Linked DNA regions of Kluyveromyces lactis. The protein of the gene in region 1 interacts with the protein of each later gene in a pairwise test. Links are inferred from orthologs where the notes say so. Each region holds a gene or a part of one and is shown on either strand. Other genes may lie near its edges. The genes, in order: RLI1 and HCR1.

Region 1 (3,992 bases):
TTTTCCTTGGACACACCTTGGGATTGTATTGAATACCTTTGGGCCATTCATATTGGTAGCGCTTTCCGTGGCCTTATTAACTCTTTGGAAGCAACCGCCAAGTGTCTTACAACCACAAACAATTCTTGCAAGAATTGTTTCGAATTCCGGTACTTTGTTGATATATAACAGTGTTCTATGTTTGAGCAGTTTTGTTTGGGTGACGCATTTCAGAAGACACCTAATGGTGTGGAAAATATTCTGTCCTCGATTCCTATTTGCATCATTATGTTTGATAGTAAGTCAACTCGTTGTAACATTTATTACTATTGGTTTTGCAAGTTCTAGACTAATCAGGCAGATAAGTCAATTGTTTTCAAAATAAACCTTACTCGAAACCAATATAGTAGGAACTCTCTTAATGTATAAATAAATTTATTTATTTATTTATGCGAGATGGACACGGACGATTCGTATGTGTCGTTTTGAAGAGGCCTGTTTTATTTGATTTGCATTCAATATCTCGCGAAATTTTTGGTTGATAATTGGGAGAATAAATAATTTATAGATATTATACAGATGTATTAATTATTGTACAGTAACATTTATGCACAAAAATGGTATTGCCGAGGACTATGCCGTTCCAATCAATTGGAATTGATTCATGATTTGTAATATAACCTTAAAAACCAGCCAACAGATAAGAAATGATGAGAATTAGATAGGATGAATGATGAATAATGACAAAAAAATAAGCAAAAAAGACACATTAGAATGGATACCCGATCGCCATTAGTAAGGCGATTAAACACCATTGTGGTCTAAGAAGAAATAGTTACCAGATGACTTTTGTTCTTTATCCATTTGGGAGTCTAATTTATTGATTCTTGGTCTGAAAGAGGTTGGATCTCTTCTGAAGGTAACGTTCAAGTTCTTTAAGAATTTGTTACAACCAGTCAACAAACTTTCTGGAGCTCTAGCGAAAGCTTGCTTAGATGGGATACCATCGAACACGATGACTTTATCGGCCAAATATGTAGCCATGATAAAATCGTGCTCGACGATGAATGCAGTTTTCTTATTATGCAAGATGAAACGTCTGATAACTTTAGAACAAATGATACGTTGTTCAGAATCTAAGTAGGCAGATGGTTCATCAATCAAGTAAATGTCAGCATTCATACCCAAAGAAAGCACAATAGCCACTCTCTGTAATTCACCACCAGACAAATGCTGAACTTCTTGATCAATGATATCATCGATTTTCAAAGGCTTAACGACATCAGTTTGGAACTGTGGGTTCAAGAATTGTGCTCTAATTCTCTTAAAGAACAATTGACGCACAGTACCAGTGAACTTTGGAGCAATCTTCTGGGGCTTCATTGAAACGTTCAACTTAGGAATATCTTGACCATCATCAGCAGGAATAGCACCTGCAAGAAGTTTAATTAATGTTGTCTTACCAGTACCGTTTTCACCCATCATAACCAAGATTTGAGAATCGGAGAATTCACCTGCTTCAACGGTTAGAGAGAAATCACCTTGTGTACGTTTCATATCTGGGTAAGTGAATGCACGGCTTGCATCGGCTTCCAATTCATCACCAGCATCAGCCATACGGAATTGTAGCGCTTCAGTTCTGAAACGCAAATTTTCAGACGGAATGTGACCATCTAAGAATATATTAATACCTTCACGGACAGAAGATGGTAAAGTAACAACACCATAAACAGAAGGCACACCATAAATAATACAAACAAAATCCGACAAATAATCTAGCACCGATAAATCGTGCTCCACACAGATAACGTATGTGGTTGGATTCAATAGAGATCTGATAATTAAAGCAGCGTTCAAACGTTGCTTAACATCCAAATAAGAAGAAGGTTCATCGAACATATAAACATCTGCTTCCTGAACACAAGACATACCGATAGCAAATCTTTGCAATTCACCACCTGAAAGGGCAGAGACTTCTCTGTTCAAAACATTCTTTAACTGTAAGATATCGATATACCTCTTAGCATCATCTTTTGATTTCTCCAATCTCAATTTCAACAACTCGCCAACTTTTTGGACGGGGCCCTTAATGGCACGAGGAATGTTATCCACATATTGTGGCTTGATGATAGCTTTGATATCATCTTCCAACATCTTAGTGAAATAGTTCTGCAATTCAGAACCACGGAAATATTTAATGATCTCTTGCCATTCTGGAGGATCTTCGAAACGACCAAGGTTAGGCTTTTGCTTACCTGCCAAGATCTTCAATGCAGTAGACTTACCAATACCGTTGGTACCGACAAGACCCAAAACCTGACCCGGTCTTGGAGTGGGCAAACGATGCAACTTGAAAGAGTTTGCCGAATAACGATGTGTCACTTGAGAATCTAAATTCGTTGGCAAATTGATGATTTGAATAGCATCAAATGGACACTTTTTAACACAAATACCACAACCGATACACAAATTTTCAGAGATAAACGCAATCTTGGAAGTAGGCATCACTTCTATACATAACTTACCAGTCTTAACCACGGGACAAGATCTCTTACATTCCTGACGACATTTCTTTGGCTTACACTTATCCTCGCTGACAATAGCGATACGAGTATTTTTCGATGACATTTTTTTTGGTACTATGAGTTTGTTTTGTGTTTCTATGATTGAATTAAAATTCAGGTACTTCCCAGTATCCGTTCTCTATCAATAAAAATGTTGGGAGTTGGAGCGTAAAGATTCCGTAAATGTATATTGTTTATGCCCTTGCTAGTGGGAGACGCTGTAGTTTATAAACCTTCCTGATTCCTTGCTTTGCAATTGACCTAGGATAGATTAGGACAGATTAAAATATAAATTAGGATGGATTAAAATCAGATTAATAATATCCTTCTGTATCCGAAATAAATAGTTTTAAGAGTAGTCTTATATCAAACTCTTCTCACCAGCCTTGAAACCGTATTCTCTAGTCTGTGCTTCTAAAACAAAAAAAAACTCTTTAAAAAAACGAATACCACTACTAAAGAATCAGAACCTATTACTTATTGAGATACAAGTAATCAAATTATAAGTACAACTGAATTAAAGCAAACTAAAACAAGTGAAATAACTTTATATTTTAAAACCTTTACCATTGTTTTCATACAGATAAAGCTTGGAAATTGTTATTGTTCCATTCTCGTTTTCTCGATGAGATGAGCTTTGTGAAATTTTTCAGTGAAAAAAAAAAAAAAAATTTTTTTTGGTGATGAAAGGATTAGTTAATTATCGTTTAGAGTGATGTGATATGAATATATAAAGAAAGCCGGCTTGAGATCTTGTTTTCTCTTCTTTGGATATCACTTTTCGGGGAATCATTTTTCCGGAACTTGGGCGGTTAAATCATGTCGAAGAAGCAAGGGTAGATTTGGGCGGGAAAGTGCCACTATGGTGGGAATTTCCCTGGAGTTATGTCATTGTGGTTGATTCAGGGGTGTCTCTCCGGTGTGGGCTCGCGTTGCCCATTTTTCAATGGGCAACGCGATATAAGTGCTTGAGTTTGTTCCTCCCTTTTTGAGGTGCATCATTCATATGGAATTGCTCACCAAGTGTGTAAACGTTTGGTTACTGATACGATGAAAGGGGCCCGTACTCGATTAGTACGGGATATGCTCTCTATTGTCGACTTTTTGAAATCGCCAGCATTTGAAATATTCACGGAATTCATACTGTACTGTATTTTTTTCTGTTGAAATTGAAACTGCTGTTTTATCAACTGGAAACCTCCTCAATTGACCACCGTTTGACCGTTCATTATCCAACCTTATTCTTTCCTTCGGTCTGAACAAACCGAGTAGACACGCCATGTACGTGTTTATTCAGCGTTTGCCAAGTCTGTCTCCACTGACATATGTGCCGATCATCTTCTACTTCTTGCTACCTTGCCCCATCGATTGAGATGGATAGTAATGTAATCCCCGTCTTGGTTGTCACCTGTCAACGGTAATGTGATACATTACTTCCTAGTTACCCTC
Region 2 (3,055 bases), on another chromosome or scaffold:
AATCAATATTATGAATTACTTATATATTAAAAATGCCTTATTAAATAGAGGGAAGAAAGGCTATGCAGTATTATATGTACAATTACATCTGTTTCAAGTTGTCAGGGTCTGTGTCCCAATGTTCATGAAGACAGAAGAAGTATCTTTTGATTACTTTTTAAAGTTCATTTCGTTACGTTAATAAAAAAGGAGAAGGGAAGAAGAAGGAGGACTATATAGTCTCATTATGCAAGTGTGAGGGATGAAAAGATAGGAAGGAGAAGAGCTGATCGGTGGCGATTCACTTGAAAAGACTCTTCAATTTGGAGAAGAACCCACTCTTTGATGATTTTTCGTCCACGTGACTCGATCCGTTGTCTCCAGTGGAGGAATTCTTAGAGCCCTTCTCATCCCTTTTCTTTCTTGACGATTTAGGGCTTAGTATGTTCCCAGCACCACCTCTACCGATCGATATGGTCTTTGGAGGTTCCGAGAAGCGTCTCGACTTGATCTTTTTGATGGTTCCTGTATTGTTTGAAGAAGTCACGTCTATCACGTCGTCATCGTCAACATCCTGTGCGGTGCGTGTCATAACCGGGTCCACATTCCTCCTCATATTACCAGCACCACCGCGACCCGTAGAGTAAATTGGCGATAGTATATTGGGGGTCTGGGAACCCTGTGTCACAACCTTCGGTGAAGGTTTCTCGTTCGACGTTATCATGTTTCCTGCGCCTCCTCTTCCAGTACTTACTCTATATTCACCCATGCCGATATATTGAATAATCTCCCAAAGATACTTTCTTTATTATTGCGTTGCCAAACAACTATTCCAGATTAGGTCCACTTGTCACGAGCCTATATCACAATGGTTAGATTGGACCAACAACTATTAAATGGATGCACATTTTATGTTTTCAATACTGACATGTATATATAAAAAAGGTTCGGATCGAGAGTTGATCATTAATTGTGTGTTGGTCAAGGAATCGATGATAAGGGACCGAAGGTCGTATGGGATGATGAGGAGCCTGGTGCATGAGTGACGCCAGAAAAAGTAACTATTTAATTTTGAGAAATAGGTATCAAAAATAAATTAATTTTGGAGCGTCATAATGGGCAGAACAGGATATGAATACGTCAATTGGGTACCATTAAAAGGGAAGTGATCATTAACATGTTATATGGTGCCAGTGGAACTCTGGATAGACAAAAAATCGTGGTCTATAGCAGGGTATTTTCGTTCTACATGCAATATGATGGTTTGACGTAGCAGTCTTTGCGGCAGAAGGGAGGGACGGAGGAAGGAAGACCACTGCCCCGGGTAACAGCTCCCAAAAGACCCAAAAATCGAAATTTAATGCCACCCATAAGCATCTTGACAAGAATTTGTAACGAGGACAATCAATAAACACTTGCTTTCAGCAGCTCTACCCTAACCGAGATCAATTATCAATCAACAATGTCCTGGGACGACGAAGATTTTGCAGTGCCAAGTGGCTCCAAAGAGAAGCCAGTGTTGAATTCATGGGATGATGAGTTCGCTGAAAACGACGATGAGCCGGTACTAGAGTCCTGGGAGGACGAGGAGACTGCTAAACCTAAGCCTAAGGCAGCAGCAGCAGCTGCAGCCAAGGCTCCAAAGAAAGCCTCTCCATCACCAGCTGCTACACCAGCTGCTACAAAGAACACCATGCTCGATATCGATACTCTTGACGACAAGACCCGTAAAGAACTATTGAGAAAGGCTGAACTGGAATCTGATTTGAACAACGCTGCAGACCTTTTCGGCGGTCTTGGCGTCGCAGAAGAACATCCAAGAGCCCGCGCCGAACGTGAAAGAGAACAGCTTGCAGCTGTCGCCCAACCTGCTGCGTTGACCAAGGATACCCCAATCCAATCGCACCCATTGTTCTCGGATTTGGAAACCAAAAAAGATTACCAAGAATTAAGGAAAGCGTTGGCTACCGCAATCACCTCGACAAGCAACAAATCCTTGTTGAACTACTCTGGTGGACTAGCCATCGACTTGATCAGAGACATTTCCAAACCAATGACCGTCGAAAACATCAGACAAACCATTGCGACATTGAACGTATTGATGAAGGATAAAGAAAGAGAAGAAAGACAAGCTCGTTTGGCCAAAGTCAAGGGAGGCACCGCCACAGGCGGTGCCGGTAAGAAGAAGGCCAAGGCTACTAGGGCTAACCTCGGCGGTGCCTTCAAGAAGGATAACGATTTCGACCTAGGTGGTAACGATAACTTTGACGATTTCGGAGAAGACGATTTCATGTAATAGAAAAAAAAAACAGATCTCATCACATATCATCATCACATATCATATATAGAACGTAAACAATTGAACTGTTAATATTGCCCAAGTCTTGTTCGCTAGCCCGGTCGCTCTTTCTCTCTCTCATCTACCGAATCTGAGAGCGCTCTTGACTCTCCACTGGCCCAGTGCTGCCTCAAACCAGTACAACAAGATCCGATCCACGCTACATCCCACGCTACGAAGTGAAAAATCATCATGGAAATCCGGCAACAAAGAAAAGCCAGAGAAGACCAGAGGAGAGCAAGCCGGATATGTATCAAAACAAGGGTGGATGAACCAAGTCGTGGAGTCGACGGTATATGATTGTTCCTATTCCGCGTTTGAACTGTTTTTTTTTTTCTCAGCTATGAACTTGTACTTATATATATATATATATATATATGTATAATCGAACGCCGTCTGTATTCCGCATATCAATATACTATATAATAAGGTAACAACTTGGTAGAGAAACTTGGTAACTTAGCAGCTGTTTTGTGTACTTGTTATCGCAAAGTGCAAGAAAGACCAGAAACGCAACTCAATGTTCAGGTTTGTTGGAAGATCCGGTTTTGCTTTGCGTGGTTCGCTGCAACTACGTAAGGACGTTCTGCGTTCTAGGACCACTGCCGTTGCAAAAAGACATTATTCGTCTTCTAACGGTAATAACGGCGGTGGATTTTCGTCCGCCATTTTAAGCGTTCTTGGTGGTTCTTTAATTGGTGGTGGGTTTGTTGCATATGCTCTAGGCTCTCAGTTCGA

The links.
Region 2: the proteins of RLI1 (region 1) and HCR1 interact in binary tests that used the Saccharomyces cerevisiae proteins (3 or more experiments, as listed by UniProt). The link is inferred for Kluyveromyces lactis from reciprocal best matches to the Saccharomyces cerevisiae genes RLI1 and HCR1.

Annotation. Positions count from the first base shown.
Region 1 is NC_006039.1:1,543,621-1,547,612, forward strand, and holds RLI1 (Fe-S cluster-binding ribosome biosynthesis protein), read right to left. Parts: upstream 2,608-3,992; coding exon 784-2,607; downstream 1-783. Other genes in the region: mannose-ethanolamine phosphotransferase GPI13, read left to right, coding at 1-364. UniProt on the Saccharomyces cerevisiae protein: Component of the multifactor complex (MFC) involved in translation initiation. Required for the binding of MFC to the 40S ribosome. Required for the processing and nuclear export of the 60S and 40S ribosomal subunits.
Region 2 is NC_006041.1:1,750,030-1,753,084, forward strand, and holds HCR1 (translation initiation factor eIF3 core subunit j), read left to right. Parts: upstream 1-1,441; coding exon 1,442-2,275; downstream 2,276-3,055. Other genes in the region: PAR32 (Par32p), read right to left, coding at 281-748; DLD1 (D-lactate dehydrogenase), read left to right, coding at 2,838-3,055. UniProt on the Saccharomyces cerevisiae protein: Component of the eukaryotic translation initiation factor 3 (eIF-3) complex, which is involved in protein synthesis of a specialized repertoire of mRNAs and, together with other initiation factors, stimulates binding of mRNA and methionyl-tRNAi to the 40S ribosome.